Linked DNA regions of Schizosaccharomyces pombe. The gene in region 2 interacts genetically with the main gene of each other region. Each region holds a gene or a part of one and is shown on either strand. Other genes may lie near its edges.

The links. Genes that interact genetically often act in the same process or in processes that back each other up.
Region 1: mutations in swi1 (region 2) and rad21 are lethal when combined (synthetic lethality), as found in Schizosaccharomyces pombe (2 studies listed by BioGRID).
Region 3: mutations in swi1 (region 2) and mus81 are lethal when combined (synthetic lethality), as found in Schizosaccharomyces pombe (3 studies listed by BioGRID).

What each region holds. Positions count from the first base shown.
Region 1 is NC_003421.2:1,341,100-1,346,739, forward strand, and holds rad21 (mitotic cohesin complex non-SMC subunit Rad21), read left to right. Parts: upstream 1-1,793; 5' UTR 1,794-1,992; coding exon 1,993-2,025; exon of another isoform or gene 2,026-2,105; coding exon 2,106-3,959; 3' UTR 3,960-4,294; downstream 4,295-5,640. Other genes in the region: SPOM_SPCC338.18 (uncharacterized protein), read right to left, coding at 170-523; F-box protein Pof3, read right to left, coding at 4,295-5,640. UniProt on the Schizosaccharomyces pombe protein: Cleavable component of the cohesin complex, involved in chromosome cohesion during cell cycle. The cohesin complex is required for the cohesion of sister chromatids after DNA replication.
Region 2 is NC_003423.3:906,312-916,641, forward strand, and holds swi1 (replication fork protection complex subunit Swi1), read right to left. Parts: upstream 8,469-10,330; 5' UTR 8,283-8,468; coding exon 7,335-8,282; intron 7,319-7,334; exon of another isoform or gene 7,260-7,318; coding exon 5,292-7,259; 3' UTR 5,215-5,291; downstream 1-5,214. Other genes in the region: ATR checkpoint kinase Rad3, read left to right, coding at 1-5,214; TORC1 serine/threonine protein kinase Tor2, read right to left, coding at 8,960-10,330. UniProt on the Schizosaccharomyces pombe protein: Forms a fork protection complex (FPC) with swi3. FPC coordinates leading and lagging strand synthesis and moves with the replication fork. It is required for programmed fork-pausing which is necessary for mating-type switching.
Region 3 is NC_003421.2:460,843-465,214, reverse strand, and holds mus81 (Holliday junction resolvase subunit Mus81), read right to left. Parts: upstream 2,496-4,372; coding exon 2,400-2,495; exon of another isoform or gene 2,391-2,399; intron 2,234-2,390; exon of another isoform or gene 2,232-2,233; coding exon 501-2,231; downstream 1-500. Other genes in the region: coq5 (C-methytransferase), read right to left, coding at 86-278; mrpl4 (mitochondrial 54S ribosomal protein uL29m), read right to left, coding at 2,830-3,264; PHD finger domain-containing protein Phf1, read right to left, coding at 3,713-4,372.

The DNA of each region.
Region 1 (5,640 bases), on a different chromosome or scaffold from region 2:
TTTTTTATTTTCCAGTCGTTATACAAGGATCGTCGTAAACTAAGATACAACAGGGTAAGTTACTCATCGCTTTCAGGTAAACAAGAACACTGTCTTTTTATGATGATTCATTTTGAATTCGGACACAAAAAGCAGAAACGGGAGACCCAAAGAAATCAAGCTTTTCGTACTACTTCAAACCGGAGGAATTAAGTCTTAAACGGTTCAATAATGCATTTAATATGGGCAGAAGCACATAACGATATCCCACACTAGGAAAGCCCAAAGCAAGGCTAATTAATCCAAGCAACGAACCAAACGTCAAACTAAACATCAACGAGAATAAAAGTACAATTAGGCTAAATTTAAGAAATACACTTTGATGTTTAAACCATTGATAGCCCTCTTTGGATACCTCTTCAATAGACGAGTAGCTATAGCGCGACATAAGACTAGGACGACCATCATTTTCTAGATGTGGAGATTGCCCAATTGGAGATTCATCCTTCAATTCTCTTTTGATATCGATATTCTGTTCAGTCATTTTGTTTTGTGGCAATTTAGTTTAATATTCAATGTGTTCCAAAAGAAAAATAAACGTTAATAAAGGTAACTGTTGTATTATTAGACAATAGTCCTTAGCAATCTATTTAAATGTAACAATTGCTTTAGTAATTTATACTTTTTCTCTTTTAAAGTCAGTGAACCGTTGTTGGGAAAAGTCAAGAATCAAGGTTAGAAACATATACGTATTCATTTTATTTACGCCTTCCCCCACATTGGATATTGCCAACAATGAACAATGACATTAAACTTCTGCAGAGGCGAAAATAATGCTATACATTCATTTTATTTATTAAAATGATTTATGAGCGAATTGCCTTCTTCCAACAGTCAAACTCGAATTCCCCTTCACTAAAACATACGGGAACTGTTTTGCGCAGTGTCCACTATTGGGAAATGGAAAAATCGAATTTGCTAGACGAATATGGATGGAATTCTTGTCTATTCCTTTTTCTATTTTTTGTTTGATTTTTTAAATAAATTAGCTTGTTTATCGAATTTATCTGGATGGGGTTTATCGTTAAAAAAAAACACCCTACCCAAAAAAAAAAAATTTATTTATTTTTATAAGTATTTTTATTCATTAACCTTCTTCTGGCATACGAGTCACAATCAACCTTTTAATTTTGACAATAATATAATAGAAATAAAATAAATTTTCAGTCGTGGTAATTTCTATTACATATTCGTTTAATGTAATGTGTTTTGACATTACTAAAATGGGATGAAAACATCCTTTTACGAGTCTATTTAATCATACAGAAAAAATGGCATTGAAGATGCAATTAATGAATGGAATTCATTTGATAAATGTATTCAATGGAAGGATAATGCTTCCAAAATAAGGATGGTCAAAATTTAACTCAAGATTGTTAAAACAAGGTTGTAATCGGAGTTTTCCGTTTTATTGAAAAACATATCCCCTTATGTCTTATGACTATTTTAATTGAATAACATAATTCAAATGCCTTTTGTTGCCTTCTATGCACATATGTGAACGTAAATCTAGCGCATCATTTTATAATACAGTTAGTAGGCCGAAACATACAAGCATATAACAAAGATAAATCAACTTCTTCGAGGAAGCATATTCCCTTGATCATGCTCAACAGTTTCTAACTTCAATACAAGCTTTTTTTATTCATTTATTTAACTATTTGTTGCTACACATACTAGTTTGTTTATGTATCATATTCATTGTCGGCATGGCAACGTGGATTTATTTACGCGCAGCGCGTACTCATTTAACCAGCACCACGTATATTCATTTTTACAAATACCCAGCTTATATCGTAGTGAGGAGGCGAATTTTGCGAAAGAAAGCATTTCTTTCATTTTAATATTTATTAATTTTTTGTTTATTTTTGTTCTTTTTTGATTCCCCTCTTTTTTTTGTCTTTACTCTTTAATTTCTTTCTATCTTTTTCTCCTAATCATATTAAGCTTCTTATGTTCTATTCAGAGGCCATTCTTTCAAAAAAGGTATGTAGTTTATAAGTTTTCTTTAGCGCGTAAACAGTGCTAATTTGTCTTTGAATCGTCTGACTAACTGTTCGCGTTAGGGTCCTTTGGCCAAGGTATGGTTGGCAGCTCACTGGGAAAAGAAACTTTCCAAAGTGCAAACTTTGCACACCAGTATTGAGCAAAGCGTCCATGCAATTGTCACGGAGGAAACCGCTCCAATGGCCCTTCGCCTATCAGGACAACTAATGTTGGGTGTTGTTCGCATTTATTCCAGAAAGGCTAGGTATTTATTGGAGGATTGTACGGAAGCGTTGATGCGTTTGAAAATGTCCTTTCAACCGGGTCAGGTTGATATGATTGAACCAGCTACTGCTCTCCAATCTTTAAAAGGTAAAGATGCTGTGACACAGAGCGCTAATCTCACTCTTCCTGAGACAATTACAGAGTTTGATCTTTTGGTACCTGATAGTACATTTGATTTTCAATGGTCTCAACTTCTTCGTACACCCTCTCGTTCTTCGAACACTCTTGAACTACATTCTTTACCAATATCTTCCTCTCCTTCTTTTCCATCTTCCCAGCTATCAATTGAGGCTGGACGAAATGCCCAAGTAGAATCAGGGTTTTCCTTGGGCGAATCATTCGCACATGTTGGCAATGATATGCAGTTTCATCTTCCCATTTCAAATTCCGGTGCTGCTACACCTAGAAGTGTGCACTCTGATAATCAGTCCCAAATTTCTATAGAAGTAGGTAGAGATGCTCCTGCTGCTGCTGCCACCGATTTAAGTGGAATTATTGGGCCTCAAATGACTAAGTCGCCGGCTAGTTCAGTCACTCATTTTAGTACGCCAAGCATGCTACCAATAGGAGGAACTTCATTGGATGATGAATTGTTGGCTCCTGTTGATGATTTAAACCTGGATTTGGGCTTAGATGATCTTTTAGGAGATGAACAAGGTGCTAATGCTCCGGCGATAGAGGCTGATGAACAAGCTGAAACATCAAGTATTCATCTCCCTTCTGACATTATGGAAGATGATTCATCTCGTCCTGCAGCAGCAGGAGTAGAGGAAGGTCAGGTTGTTGAAAGCGCCACTGCTCCTCAACAGGAAAAGATCAATCCACAGAAAACTGTACGTCGTCAACGTGCAATTATTGATCCCGTTACTGAATTGTCCTCCAAGCAAATGAAAAAACAATTGGCAGATACATCTTCCATCACCTCACCGTTATGCTTGAATACATCTTCCATCGTGTTTAATGCCACCGTTAATTTTACTCGAAACGGTAAATTTAATACTTCCATATTTTCTTCCAACCTGAACCCTAAAGTAAACGAGCTTTTGCAAGCTGATTTCAAACAGGCAATTCTAAGAAAGAGAAAAAATGAGAGCCCAGAGGAAGTCGAGCCTGCCAAGCACCAACGTACTGATACCTCAACTGAAAACCAAGAAACTGCTGAAGTCTTGGACCCTGAAGAAATTGCAGCCGCTGAGCTTGCCAACATTACTGAAGCCGCTATCGCTACTTTACCACAAGAAACCGTTGTTCAACCAGAAGGAGAAGCTCCTGAGCTTGGTTCGCCAATGGGATTTCCTGTTACTGCCTTGGAATCAGCCGATGATTCACTTTTTGACGCTCCTCCCGTAATGCTGGACGAGGCCGATTTGCTGGGAAGCGAACGATTGGACTCTTCGGTATCTGAGGCCCTTCCTAGTTCACAAACAGCCAAAGATTCTCTACGCAATAAGTGGGATCCTTATACTGAAGGTGAAAAAGTATCCTTCCAAACTCTTAGTGCGGGATGCAATAGAGAGGAAGCTGTTCAACTTTTCTTTGATGTCCTCGTTTTAGCGACGAAGGATGTTATATCTGTCAAGCAGGATGTTGCCATTCAGAACGAAATCACGCTTACTGCTAAACGTGGAATGCTACTTTCATCACTATGAGAGGTCGGTTAATATTTTTTCAAAATCCAATTAGATCTATAAATAAGTGTGAATACTTACACGAAATAGATTTTTATGACAGTAATATTGTTCATTGCTTTCTTTTATCTTTATTTTATTTTTGGAATCACGAGTTGTATGTCTTTCTTTTTCCGAGTTACGATATTACTGTTGGATGTATGTAATATTATCAGCTCAACACAAAGTTATGATTAGAAATAGCTTACGCGCTTTTTAATTTATTCTCAATGATTGATCTATCTCTTAAAAATCTTCCTTTCAATGCGATGATACGGGTTTACTAGGATTGAATATATAAAGACAATATGATCATATTATATTAGGCGTATCTTTTTTGTACCCAATGGTTGAGAATTTGGAAGCGAGGAAGCTACGGTAACTTGCATACCTTTGGAGCGCGCCCAATCTATTGCATCTCTAGAAACAGAATCACAATTAATAATATCTATACGTTTTAATTCTTTCAGTCCTCGTAAAACTGCTATAAATCCCGATCCATCGAGGGATATTGAATTTGAAAAGTTCACATACTTTAGATTTGGACAACAATCAGTAATGTGTATTGCATGCTTATTTTGAAGAGCAACGTTATCAGGAATCTCAAGATGCTCAAGTTCCGGTAAAGATGCAAATATTTCAAAGAAATGGGGGGCCAATGCTAGCGAATCGTGTAGAACCAGCTTTTTTAGTTTGTAACAAGAAGTCAAAAATTTGACAACATTATCGATATCATTTTGAGATAAACGAAGATAAAGAAATAACTCTAAGTTGATTAGTGATTCCATCCGGACATTTGTAGGGAATAAATATGGACATAAAATTGTAGATGCAGGATTGCAGGGTTTCACAATTAACGTGGTAAGAGATTGAGGAAGGAATGCTAGATCTTTAACAGTATTCGATACTCCTTCATCAATGATAATTAACGATCGGAGATTAATTTTATATTTTTTTATTGCAGCAACTAGGTCTGACTGATATGAGGCTTCCAGATATTCTAAATATGGACTGGCAGACAGCAAGTCTTTAAGAAATTGCTGTTCTTTATGGTGAAAGGGAAACTTTTGATTTCGGATAAACGTCAAAGATTTAAGAGCCAGCGGTACAGATTCTGCATTAAAGAGTTTATCCCAATCCATAGAATCAAATATCAAATCGGGAATTAAGTCAACAAGCTCAACCTGCTTGAGTTTCTTACAGCAAGATAAAATCTTAGAAGCTATGGAAAATGTTATAGGAGTAGCACAATAAAAGTAGTGAAGTTCAGAAAATGGCGTCCAAATTGTATACAATTTATCCGTTGACTGAGTGTGGAGAGGTGAAATGGTTTTGTAGACTTTAAGTGATTTGACTGAACGAAGTAAGGCTTTGGTAGGTGTTAATATACCAAGCTTCTCTAAGCCAATTACTTCCTGTATATTGTCTTTTGAATAAACAGAGTATCGAGCAACAGCCATAACGTTTCGATCTCTAGAGTTTACACTTCGAGGAGAGGCGCATGAAAAGTCTAAGCAACAAAATAAGCTAGGTTCTTTCTTAATACAGTCTCTCCAGTGTTTGCAGACTTGCATACACTGAACAATACTTTTGAAATTTAGTTGCTGTAGAATACATAATAGGACTTCTCGGGGAAGAATGCGAAACAAATCTAGTACCGGCC
Region 2 (10,330 bases):
GTGGTAGAAGAAGAAGAATTACATTTTGTACTATTGGAAGTTATATCTTCTGTGATAAACAGCGGAATATTTTATCAAGGCATTGGTCTCAGCGCTCTGCAACAAATTGCCTCGACGCGTCATATATCCGTTTGGCAATTACTTTCTCCATATTGGCCAACAGTGTCCGTTGCGATTGTCCAAGGTATGGGTAAAAAACCGAACATAGCCAGTTTATTTGCTCAGCTTATGAATATTTCCGAGGGCGATTTTCTTATTCGAACACAGGCGTACACTTTACCATTCCTTGTACTTACTAAAAACAAAGCGTTAATAGTACGTATAGCTGAACTTTCACAAAGTGATGTTGCTACTTTGTGCCTTACCAATATGCATAAAATCCTTGCTTCGCTACTTACTACGGATCATCCTAATTTGGAAGAGAGTGTGATGCTTCTTCTTTCACTGGCCACTTCTGATTTTGAAAAAGTTGATTTAACGTCTTTGTTACGCTCTGATCCTATTTCTATTACTGTGGAGTTGTTACAGCTTTATCAGAATGATGTTCCTCATGAAAAAATTGAAAATGCTTTAAGAAAGGTAGCAATGATTGTCTCTCAAGTGGTTAATGACGAAGACTTGAGCAATAAGGAATTACTTTATGATTTTTTTAATAATCACATTTTGGGTATCTTAGCAGAATTTTCTAATATCCTTAACGACCTGAAAGGAAAGACTTCAATTAATGAAAAGATTAAGACAATTGTCGGCATTGAAAAAATGTTATCTTTATGTGGAGGTGCAGTCAAACTTGGATTACCACAGATACTTTCTAATTTACAAAGTGCTTTTCAAAATGAGCACTTAAGGTTTTATGCAATCAAAGCTTGGTTCAGTTTGATATTAGCAACCAAGGAGCCCGAGTATAGTTCAATTGCTGGTTTAAGTCTTGTAATTTTACCTCCTTTATTCCCTTATTTAGAACCACAAGAAGCAGAGCTAGTAATTCAAATATTTGATTTTATTTCTTCTGACACACACAAGTGCCTACAAGGATTAAAGTGGGCTATCCCCACCAGTCTGGATTCAGCGTGCTTTAGCCTTAAGGCTAAAGAAATATTCTGTTCGCTTCAAAATGAAGATTTTTACTCTGAGCTTCAAAGTATAATTAAGTGTTTAACTAACGAAAATGAGCCAGTTTGTTATTTAGGTTTACAAAAATTAGAACTTTTTTTTCAAGCCAAGGTGGACGAGTTACATGACACACTAAATTTGGACATATCCAACGAAGTTCTGGACCAATTACTAAGATGCCTTTTAGATTGTTGTGTAAAATATGCTTCAACAAATATGCAAATATCATATCTTGCTGCAAAAAATCTTGGTGAATTGGGTGCGATAGATCCCAGCCGCGCCAAGGCTCAACATATTATTAAAGAAACAGTTGTTCTTGATAACTTTGAAAACGGAGAAGAAAGTTTGAAGTTTATTCTAGATTTTATGCAATCGCAGTTAATTCCAGCTTTCCTTGTTACTACTGATACTAAAGCACAAGGTTTTCTTGCCTATGCTCTGCAAGAGTTTCTAAAGCTTGGTGGATTCAAGTCCGCAGTGATTAATAAAAAAAAGGGACTAACTGTGGTAACAGAACATTGGATGTCTTTGCCTGATTTATCCAAACGTGTGCTTATACCATTTTTAACTTCCAAGTATCATTTAACACCAATCCCCAAAATTGACATTCGGTACCCTATTTATAAAGAAAATGTTACTATTCATACTTGGATGCAGTTGTTTTCTCTTAAATTGATGGAGTACGCCCATTCGCAAAACGCTGAAAAAATATTTGGTATTTGTTCGAAAGTAGTGAAAGACCAAGAGGTTAACATTCCCTGTTTTCTTCTTCCCTTTCTTGTTTTAAATGTTATTTTAACCGAGTCAGAACTGGAAGTTAATAAAGTCATTGAAGAATTCCAGCTTGTTATTAATCAACCGGGACCTGATGGATTAAATTCCGTGGGGCAACAAAGATACACCTCATTTGTAGATGTATTTTTTAAGATTGTGGATTACCTTAACAAATGGCTTCGCATGCGAAAGAAGAGGAATTGGGATAGACGTTCTGCCATTGCAAGGAAAGAGAACCGTTATATGTCGGTGGAAGATGCTACCTCTCGAGAATCATCGATCTCAAAAGTTGAGTCATTTCTTTCTCGATTTCCTTCAAAAACATTAGGTATTGTCTCTTTAAATTGTGGATTTCATGCTCGTGCATTGTTTTATTGGGAGCAACACATACGTAATGCTACAGCTCCATATGCAGCTTTAGAGTCCGATTATAGAGTTTTGCAGGAAATATATGCTGGAATTGATGATCCAGATGAAATCGAAGCAGTGTCTTTAAATTTCCATGATTACTCGTTTGATCAACAACTCCTTTTACATGAAAATTCAGGAACATGGGACTCGGCTTTGAGTTGTTACGAAATTATTATTCAAAAGGATCCTGAAAATAAAAAGGCGAAAATCGGTTTGCTTAACAGCATGCTGCAATCGGGGCATTATGAATCTCTTGTTTTGAGTTTAGATTCTTTTATAATCAATGACAACCACGAGTATTCGAAGATGTTAAATTTGGGTATTGAAGCTTCATGGCGTTCGCTATCTATTGATTCGTTAAAAAAGTGTCTTTCAAAAAGCAACTTGGAATCTTTCGAAGCTAAATTGGGTAGCATATTTTACCAATACCTACGGAAGGATTCTTTTGCTGAATTGACGGAGCGGCTGCAACCCTTGTACGTTGATGCTGCTACAGCAATTGCAAACACAGGCGCCCATTCAGCCTATGATTGTTATGATATTTTATCTAAGCTGCACGCAATTAATGACTTTAGTAGGATTGCTGAAACTGACGGAATTGTTTCCGACAATCTTGATATTGTTCTTCGCCGTCGGCTTAGCCAAGTAGCTCCGTACGGTAAATTCAAGCACCAAATCCTGTCCACTCACTTAGTTGGCTATGAAAAATTTGAAAACACGAAGAAAACTGCTGAAATATATCTCGAGATTGCAAGAATATCTCGAAAAAATGGTCAATTTCAAAGAGCCTTCAATGCCATCCTCAAAGCAATGGATTTAGATAAACCGCTAGCAACAATAGAGCACGCACAATGGTGGTGGCATCAAGGGCAACATCGTAAAGCTATTTCTGAATTGAATTTTTCGCTTAATAACAACATGTTTGATTTGGTTGATGAGCATGAAGAAAGACCTAAAAATCGTAAAGAAACTTTAGGAAATCCACTTAAAGGAAAAGTGTTCTTGAAACTTACAAAATGGCTCGGAAAAGCTGGCCAACTGGGATTGAAGGATTTGGAGACGTATTATCATAAAGCGGTAGAGATTTACTCAGAATGTGAGAATACGCATTATTATCTTGGCCATCATCGAGTTTTAATGTATGAAGAAGAACAAAAGCTCCCAGTTAATGAACAGAGCGAACGATTTTTAAGTGGTGAGTTAGTAACTCGCATAATTAACGAATTTGGTCGATCTTTGTACTATGGTACAAATCATATATATGAAAGTATGCCAAAATTGCTCACACTGTGGCTTGATTTTGGGGCCGAAGAACTTCGCTTATCTAAAGATGACGGCGAAAAGTACTTTCGTGAACACATTATCTCTTCGAGAAAAAAATCTTTGGAACTTATGAATTCGAATGTTTGTCGCCTTTCTATGAAAATTCCTCAATACTTTTTTCTGGTTGCATTATCCCAAATGATATCCAGAGTATGCCATCCAAATAATAAAGTTTATAAAATTTTGGAACATATAATTGCAAACGTTGTAGCATCTTATCCTGGGGAGACGCTATGGCAATTAATGGCAACAATAAAATCGACTTCTCAAAAGCGCTCGCTTCGTGGAAAAAGCATTTTAAATGTTTTACATTCTAGGAAGCTTTCTATGTCTTCCAAAGTTGATATAAAAGCACTCAGTCAATCTGCAATTCTCATTACTGAAAAGTTAATCAATTTGTGCAATACAAGGATTAACAGTAAATCTGTAAAAATGAGCTTAAAGGATCATTTTCGGCTTTCTTTTGATGATCCGGTAGATTTAGTCATTCCTGCTAAATCATTTTTAGACATTACTTTACCAGCTAAAGATGCTAACAGAGCTAGTCATTATCCATTTCCAAAAACTCAGCCTACTCTGTTGAAATTTGAGGATGAGGTGGATATAATGAACTCTCTTCAAAAACCAAGAAAAGTGTACGTTAGAGGTACGGATGGCAACTTATACCCATTCTTGTGCAAACCCAAAGATGATCTTCGTAAGGATGCTAGATTGATGGAATTTAATAATCTTATTTGTAAAATATTGAGGAAAGATCAAGAAGCGAACAGAAGGAACTTGTGTATTAGAACTTATGTTGTTATTCCTTTAAATGAAGAATGCGGATTTATCGAATGGGTAAATCATACTCGTCCATTTAGAGAAATTTTGTTAAAAAGCTATAGACAGAAAAACATTCCCATATCATATCAAGAAATCAAAGTTGATTTAGACTTTGCACTGCGAAGTCCTAACCCTGGTGATATATTTGAAAAGAAAATCTTACCGAAATTTCCTCCAGTTTTTTATGAGTGGTTTGTTGAATCTTTCCCAGAACCAAATAATTGGGTTACTAGTAGACAAAACTATTGCCGAACTTTAGCAGTAATGTCAATAGTTGGCTACGTTTTGGGTTTGGGAGATCGCCATGGCGAAAACATATTGTTTGATGAATTTACAGGTGAAGCTATCCATGTCGATTTCAACTGTCTTTTTGATAAAGGTCTTACTTTTGAAAAACCTGAAAAGGTGCCGTTCAGATTAACTCATAATATGGTAGATGCAATGGGTCCGACAGGTTATGAAGGGGGTTTCAGGAAAGCTAGCGAAATAACGATGCGGCTTCTTCGCTCAAACCAAGATACATTGATGAGCGTACTAGAGTCTTTCCTACATGATCCTTTAGTCGAGTGGAATAGAAAGAAGTCGTCAAGCAAGTACCCGAATAATGAAGCAAATGAAGTTTTGGATATAATTCGCAAAAAATTTCAAGGCTTTATGCCAGGGGAGACGATACCTTTATCTATTGAAGGGCAAATTCAAGAATTGATCAAATCTGCTGTCAACCCAAAAAACCTGGTAGAAATGTACATTGGTTGGGCTGCTTATTTCTAGCATTTTACTAACAAAAATTTCAATGAACAAGCTACCCATTATTAAACTTATGATTTGAATCGAAGATATTTTATTTATTAATCCGATGAAGAATTCTCGCTGAGTTGTTCAATTTCTTGTAATTTTCCTTCCATTTCTAAATCGTCGATTCGCTTAAATAGGGCACTGGCTTTTTGTGCATTTTTCTCTCGTAAAGCAGCTTCTGATTGAAAAAAAGCTATATCTGTTTCTGAGTCATCATCCGAATCAACAATATATTTTGCAGATCGTAAATGGTTTTCCTTTTTCTTTCGAGTTGTATGGTCAATAATAGTTTCGTTAGTTTTCATCTTTTTACGTTTTCTGTCAGTAATCTTATTTAACGCTTCTCGACGATTGGCGAAAGTTATAGGATCATCTGCTTCAAATTCAATTTCTTCGTCAGATGTTTCACCCTCACTACTTGATGGTAAACGAACATTTCCTCTTTGCTTCCTCACTAATAAATCTTCGGGCTTGGTGCCTTCAAACGTCGGCGGATCATCAGTAAACCTTCTCAACAACATGGCATGCTCAACAAGTTCATCAATTATAACAGAATTTGGTAATTTCCATAGTGCTTGAACGTCTATATTGTTATCTGATTCTTCGAATCCACATAATTCTAATAATAGACGAAATTTTCCGTCTTTCAAAAGGGCCGTATTAAATGAATCTGTGTCTCCTTTCAAATTCTTCCCCATTCTTTCACCATCATTTCCACCTTCATTTATATATTTGTTCTCGTCAGCTAGCGTTATTAGCTTTCTTTCTGAAATGAGGCAATTAAGTTGAACTTTCAATTCATCTAATAAATCACTTTTGTTTTCATTTATAAGGCATGCAACAACGGCAGCCACCTTTTCCAAATGTGATAAGCCAGGCACCGTCTCGTATAACGGGCCTTTTCTCGAACCATGAATAGAGAAAAGTGGACTTTTTCCATATTCCAGATAATAAAATGTGTCGGTTAATTTTGGGAAAGGCAACTCAATAAAAAGTGCTGGTACATCTTTTAATGCATCTGAAAGCTTTCGCATATAATATACAAAAAATTGTTCAAAATCCTGTCTTGCTGAATTTGTAGTAGAAAAATAGACATGGTCATTAAACATTTTGTCCAGAACACGTAGGAAATCGAGACGATACAAATAAACATGGCATTTTTGCTTCACGAAAATGCGGTAAAAAAAGGAAATAGCCCTATGAATTTGTTTTGAATCCAGATCTTGGTAACATTGAAGGAACAGCACGAAACTATCAATACATCCATTATCACAGTACCTAGACTCATATCTGCCGAAATCAAACAGACGGTCCTCAACGGCTGCATTAGCATTAATCAAGCTGCTTTCTTCATCTTCATCCGATTCCAAGACATTGCTATCAACAGATTTCTGATTTCTCCTTCTCTTTTTCACATAGAGATATTGTTTAGCACTGCTAAATTTCTCAAGCTCCTTTAATAGCACTATAGTTAGCTCAGTTATTGCATCTAAATACCCAAAGGACTGAGTTTTAAAATGCTTTAAAGCGCTATAAACAAGTAAAAGAATTTCCTCTTGGTAAAAGATATTGCTTAGTAGATTATCGGCAATTCTTTGGTAAATTTCTGAGGAACAAAGTGTCATACTTCGAAGAGTGAAAAGTAATTGAGTCATCGAAAGCATGGATGCTTGGAAGGTGCTCCATTGTTTCATTTCAAAGGATTCTACCATTAACCTGTTGTGCATAATCAAAGCTCGTTGGTCAAAAACGGAGGCTGCTAAGCCAAAACTATAATCATTAGAGTAAATTTCTTCTGTTTTTTTTGGTTTAGACGAAAATCTCATGAATTCCAAAAAAAATGACTGAACGTATAATAATTGCATTTTATGAATTGGAAGCACACGAGGATCTTCTCTTTCCAAGTCTTTTAAGAGAGACTGAAATAATGGATTGAATCCAGCTTCCAAAAATTCGACAGCAAAGTTCCTTAATGCAGTACCTGCCTCGGTATTGATAAAGAACGATTTGTTTATGTCATCCTAATATTGTTAGAATAGAATAGTTGAATTGGAAAAAAAAATTTAAACAAACATCGTGTTTAACTAAGTACATACAAAATGTTTTCGACGTGTTCCTCGTTTTCGAAAACGCTTATGAGAGTCAAGCTCATCAAGGCCGTCGGTTTTTATATTTTGGCTAGCAATAGTAAATCTTCTGTCTTCAGTTTGAACAGAAAGCATGGTTCCAAATCTATTATGCCTCGTATGTGCATTTCGTTTCAAATAGCGATTTTGGGTCGACTCTTTGAGGAGTAAGCTATTAAGTTCGGTTTGAGAGTTAGTCAATGAGGCATCAGAGAAAAGGGCTGATGGCTTACAACCTCTGATCAAGTTGTAGACTATTTCTAATATGTAAACATCAAAATGCTCAAATTCATCGAGATTCGAGACCAGTGTGACAATCAAATCTAATATATGAGCTTTCGCAAACGAGATAATTGTTTCATTTTTTGTTTTTAATTCATCGATTTGAAGAATGTTTCGAAATAGTAACAGCACTATCCTGATTATTCCCTTGTCTCTAAGTGTTCTGGATTCTGCGGGAGTACTTAAGGGCTTTAGTAAAACAGCTAAAATGGCGGATAAAACGCTCCCCTTCTTGTAAGATAAAATTGAATTTTTATAATTTGATTGAGCTTGACGCAGATTATAGAGAACATCAACATTTTCTCTGAATGTTTCATGCTCAGTCTCCAAAGGCCATGTTAATGGTACAAGAAGCTCAACACAAGCTAAAGCGATACGCCAGTTTCTGTAATTAGTAATGTCTTTATCCCAGTCAGAGAGTATTGGACATATATCATTAGTTACCAACTGTAAGCTCGAGAGCAAAGATCGAATTTGCCAAACTTTGTACTTTTCATCGACTACTTGAAGATAGCGCTTCAGATCCTTTAGGCAAGCCAAAGCTTCATCACCAAGAACGTACACTTTTTCATCGTCTGAATAGTCAAATCCTCCAATGGCAGAAACAATGCCTTGAATCACCTCATCTAATTCCATTCAAGTTGATTTGTTAAATCAAAAGCTCTCAAGTTCCTTTTTTTTGTATTGTCGGTATGCGTCGATAAATAAACCAAATTTAAGAAATTAAATAAATTTTAATAATTAAGCGATATTAATTATGTTCATGAATAATCGTATTCTTTTAAGATAAGTAAATTTGATTGTAGATACGTGAAGAGGGGTGGTGACAGTAAACAATGAATAATAAATTTTTAAAACAATATTTAACTTTTCAAAATAACTTGGATTTTTAAAAAAATGTGTGTAAAGTAAAACACTTTATAATTTAAATCGCATTAAAATGGCATTCAGTATTATATTATAAAATTCGATAATATGGACTCAACAAAACGAATTTGCTACCTAACTTGTACAATGCATAATTAGAATTTAGTTTCAATAATTTTCACAATTTCAGATGTAGAAATTTAGAGTTTATTATTTTCAGAATGATTAAGCAGCAAATCTTTAATAACAATATAAAGAGATGCATTCTCTACTACAAAATTCTAAAAATTCTGCGTCAAATTCAACATTTCCTCTATTTTGTAAAATTGTAAAACAACGTAATAAATTGTTACAGGACTCATTCATAAAGACTATTTACACTTTATTTAATATAGAATATATATATGATGCGGCAGAAAAGCAATTTGAACGTTTGGGACTGTCACCTACCAGAAACTACACCAGCCAATATAGCACAAGCATAGGTTCTCTATAGAGGTTGCTTGTAAAATCAGCTTCTCTACTTGACTTGGTACATCCAATTGCTGTTGGGGTTTGAAATCCCGACCAGTAAGTTTATTGGACACACGATTAAGAACGGTTATAGCTCTTTGATTGAGTATCTCGGGTTTTTGACGTTCTTCAAGTGTAATTCCTTCTTCGTTTAAGCGTTTCCGGTGTAAACCATCAATTGTCTCACCGAGAAGTGTATTAGGTTCGTTAGATTGCTTTTCATCGATAGAAGGTGAATATGCAGGAGCAAGGCGCCAGTTAATAAGAGGATCGTAAACGAAAGCTTCTAAAACTGCCATCACAGACTCCTTATTAGTACGAAGAACTCGCATAACATGTTCGCATGTTATCCGGAACGTCCCCTCTATACCACTAACTTCCATTGCGTTAACAAGCATTCGCGTAAGGCGGAAAGGAATCTTCTCGGGAAACTTTTCTCGATGCATTGCTACTTCAAAACAATCTCCAAAATCGATATGGATGATATTACCTGTATACCTGTCCAGCATCAAATTGGAAGGATGACGATCGCCCAAACCTAAGATGTACCCTACCATTGACATCACCGCAAGAGTACGAGAATAGTTAGTTCGCCTATTAAGCCAAGCTTCTGAGCTACGACTCTTCAGCCATAAAACGCGGTATAAATCCTGCCCCGTAGTACTAAGTAGGGCATATTCAAAGACTTCAACTTTCTGAAGGAGAGTGAGACGATCGTAATCTGGAGCCATCTGAATGATCAACCTATGTTCTATGTTGAGTAAAATCTTTCTGCTTTCTCTGTAGTCACGAATTAAGACATGCAAAGTATCGCTATCCAAAACCCAGCCTAAAAGGCCTGAATCCGGTGATAAAGGAATCACTGGATACCTTTGGATTGAAAGTAAGCGCTTAAAAGTTTCCGGGTCAGCTAGTAACAGATTGTTACAAAGCCCAAATAGCTGCATAACACGTTCATCTTGTCTGATGTCCTCGTGACCCTTTAAAACATATTGATAATCTTTTCCATCACTGCCTTTAATACTCAGTCGTCTCGGACGTTGCTTAGATGTTATCACGTTGAATGTAGGGTAAAACTTTACAATTCTTATAACAGGTTTCCCGCTAACGTATGTTCCCGGAACAGCTAACTCAAGATCATGTACATGTAAGAGTTTAGGAGAAACGTATTGTAAATCTAATGTTGTCAACTGAGGTAGCTGTTTACGAATTTTCTTGAAAACTTGGTAATATAAGTCCCAGGCCTGATTTAAGTCTGATATATCACCAGTTTGCTCAAAACGGATACAACAATCCCTTGCTTC
Region 3 (4,372 bases), on a different chromosome or scaffold from region 2:
AATTTCTTCAGTAAATGCAAAATGCAAAATGTTATGATTTACAATCAAATCACATGTCCTAGCAAACCAGTTCTTCCATACATACCAAGGTGCTCTTTTTCATCTTCCGGAACGTCTTTAAATCCAAAATGAGTCATGTGGCTTGAGGTATCAGTATCTTTCGAGCTAGTACTGGTATAGCGACAATTAGACAATCGAGAGCCAGCCAAAGCTGTAGACCTGATTCCTTTCAATCCATCAGCTAAAAATTTAGCAACAGGAGCTCTTAAACGTGACATGATACAGCAGTTTCAAAAACGAATACCAAGTGTAACGGTTTTGTTTATGGATAGTGCTAGGTAGAAACTCACGATTTGAAGGGAATCTGATGCTACCTATATACCGCAATACACTAACATACGCAATTTCCGATGGTAAAGCAAAGGTAAATTAAATATATGGGAAATGATAAGAAAATTGAATAAATATTATGAATCATAAATAAATAAAAGTTCAAAGGCTCAAGATTCTGGAAAGAAAACGCTTGCGACCTTGGCGGAAAGTGCTGGCCCTATTGTTTGAAAACCATAGCCTTGACAAGTCTTATTCAGTAATAAGTTTCTTTCCTGGCTAGATGATGACTTTTCGTACGCCTCAAATAAATGCATGAATGTTGGATATTTCTTCTGAATCTCGATGGCTTTTGAAGCACTTATACCTTTTATAGTCATAAGCATTCGAATAAAAATATCCCCCACGGTCAAAGTAGAAGACTTCGAGAGGACAGAGGAAAATGCATGGTATGATATGTGGTAAGGAGTTGAGGGATCAATTTTTAGAAGTTGCTCTCGTAACGACTCATAAGTTTTGGCTTCTATCGACAAATCGGGAATGACAGCGAGGGTTTTACGTTTCTCATAAAACAGGTTAATTTGCTTTGTCATTTCAGCAAGCAAACTTACGCTGTGTTCAAGTGATCGCGTATGACGGACATGAAATAATTGATCGACTTGGGTATTGCTAACAGCTGTACGAATTGATTCCGTGAAACTTTCATCATAAGAGGATTCCTCCAAAATGTAGGTGACTGAACGTATTCCGCTCTTCTTTAGACGTGCCTTTTGTTCGTGAAATCTTCCGTCCTTAATGGAAGCAACTAAATCATCATATCTTTTCCTTTCAACGACAAAATCCAACACAACTTCTTGACCGCTTTCCATATCCCTTGCAACCCATAAAGCATCTCCCAATTCTAATGATCGTACCTGACAATTGACACCAAAGTCATTAGTCAGTTTATCGATAATAAGATTGCGATCCAAGGGAGAACGTATTTCTCGAGTATCAATCAGAAGAAAAACCGTACAGTTTGAGAATAATACCGTCTCGATTTTTAAGTTAGACAAATTGCTTTCATTTGGTTGCTTTTTTTCTTGTTCCGTCAAGTCAATCAACTGCTCATTGTTAATGATATGGTGATCATGAATTCCGGTCAACGAATCCACCTGATCAACATCTATATCGGTTTCAACACCATCAGAAACTTCATTATGATCTACCGGACAGTAAGTAACATGTAGTTCACCTCCGTGGTCTGAAGAACTTCCTGCTTTATTGATTGATGTAACAAAATTTGGAGGTTGGCATAAAGAGGAATCATGATCATCGGATTTAGAGACAGAAAAGTTTGATACAGTATGTTTCCGTTGAAAGGAATCGTCTACTTTTGCCAAACGTATGCAAACTTCTTCACCATCGTCGGTCAAGCAGTACTTAGAGGGATGACCTGTCTGGTAAACTAAATTTTTTGTGATCAAAGTCTTCATAGCACTCCATGCAGTATAACGCATGTTTCGGTCTGTAGCAGATCCAAAGGACGAATCACAATACGGTTGGGCCATCGTAACAATTTGAGGCTTTGTAGCGAATTCGTGTTTATTAAGCATATAAAGAGCGCAAAGAATTGAATATGCACCAGAACGATAGCTCGGAACATAGACCTTTCTCTTTCTTGTAGTCGGTTTTTTAACGCTTCGAGGCTTTTCAGAAGAAGTCTCAGAAGACGATTTATTAGCATTGACATGAGAATCATTCTGTTCATTGTGCGTGCTAATTGGAATATTATTTTCCAAACAGTAAGCGTTCCATTTCTTTTCTAGCTTGGCACAAATCGTAGGGCCAATTCCCTTCAGTGCCAATGCCTGAGAAGGACGATGAAATGTGATGGGGCAACTTTTCATTGAATCGTAGGCCTAATTATTAGCACGGTTTCTTATTTAAAACAACAACAACAGTGATTGTTATGATATTTATGGAGTACGAAGCTATAAAAGCTTTCGAAAAATTACAGTCATTATTAATTTAATATTTAAATTATTTATTTTTCAAAGAGTTTTTCACTAATCCAATAAATTTCCTACCTTTCTCCAGGTTTGATATGACTTGGGGAAGCGACGCGTCGACTCTTCCATCCACTCCTGTATCCATTGTAAAAACAGCGGATTTCCACAATCCATGGATCCGAAAAACAAAGAAAAAAACTATTTCATTCAAATTATCGATTGTCACACGAAACAAAAGTCTAAACAAATGGATGTGGATAGAATGCGATTTCCTAAATTTCGTGTAAAGACATTAGCATGGTTGCCGGGACAACCGAGATTTTATGATCAGTATAAACAAAATAAAGAAAACAATTATAGGTGAACAAAATAAAAAATCATTATCATCATTATAAAACAGTTTCTCGTGTATTAGGGTATATTTTTAGAAAGTTTGTGAAATGATGAAGCTTTAGATCATAATAAAGCCATACTTGGATGATTTTCTGTTTTCCTAAAAGGAAGGGGTTTAAGAAGATCCCTTTTGTTTCTCGAGCTGCTTGGCAGAAGTATATGCTCTTTGGCGTTCCCATAGGACAAATTTGATAGCTGCCATGGTTTTATTGACTGCAAGTACACGCTCATTTGAGGCTTTGGGAATAGTCAACTGTAAGCGTTTCATTTCAGCCCTTTGTGTGAACAATAGGTTCTTCTCTCGGAGACAATTGTACCAAAGTCCATGTAGATCATTAAAAGACTTCCAACGAAGCTCTTCTGCAGCCCATGCTCTACCGAATTTAGCCTCTTCCGATGGTGGTGGAAGGGCTTGCTTGTCCCGAAAGAAATTCCACAAAGGGTGCGTGTCTGAAACCTTAGGAGCACTTTTTACTTTTGGAACAGGAAATACAAAGCCCTTTGGAATACGTACGGCTGCTTTCTGAGCGCTAGCCAACGTGGACCTCATCTTTGGTGGTAAGTAGAAGGTGCGCTGTAACACCCTGACATTGACCGATAATAATGGTTGTAAGTCATACTTTAAAAATAATTATTTTTTATTATACTTCATTGACTTTCTTAATTATTGCTAAATTGAGAAATTGTTCATTTCCTTATTTTATTTTATTTTAAGATTTCATGGCGAGGAAACATTCCAAACGAAAAGTTTATAATGTAAACAGAAAGTGTGTAGGGCGATTTATGTATTTTCCCTAGATTTGTTATCGAGTGAAAAGTTTGAATCCATGAAGGAAATACTAAAGTACTTTGATTTGCAGCTAATACATGGTGTAATGATACATTGCTTTCGACCGCTTATAAATTTATTTCGAGATTAACGGGACGCAACCGTTTAATTAAAAACGGGAAGTAAAGAAATTTTTTTTGTCTATACATTTAGAAAAATTTGTTCAGTTTCATAAAACAGTAGCACATAAATTTTGAGGATCATCGGTGGGGAAAGAGACAGGCACCAATTTAGGTACCTTACGGTTTCGTTGAAAAGTAGGAAGTAAAGAGGGTTGGAGGTGAGGGTATTCTTCGACTGTTGCTATTTGATAGATGCTACCGGAACGGACCAGTTGACCTTTATTTACCATCCAACGAATGGCCTCGGAAGCGCTGTCGTGAAAAGTTGGTAACAATGGTACGTTTTGAGCAAGCCAGTTAAATATTTCATCTTTGGAAGGTGAGAGGGTGTTACGAATAGCTAACCGTATTAACGTTGGATAGTCGTATAAGGTTCCAGAATTCGCAACATAACTTGCGGTATAGGGGACAGGTGCAGGCTCATCAGAGGGAGCTTCATCTTGTTTAGCATGAAGTCGCTCTTGTAAAGATATTTGTTGGCGTTCAGAACTAACAAGTAGTTGATGCCGAATCTCACCCAACAACTCCCGAGTACGTGGGTTGTATATGGGAAGAGATGGATAAGACTTTTCACAAAAAAGAATAAGATCTGCGAGATGAGGAGTAGGTAAACTTGATAGATACATTTTTTTGTCTGATTCACTTAACCCAAGATCTTGTGCCGTCATTCCCGTTTCTAAAGGTTGCTTGGCACGCCTGTACTGGCA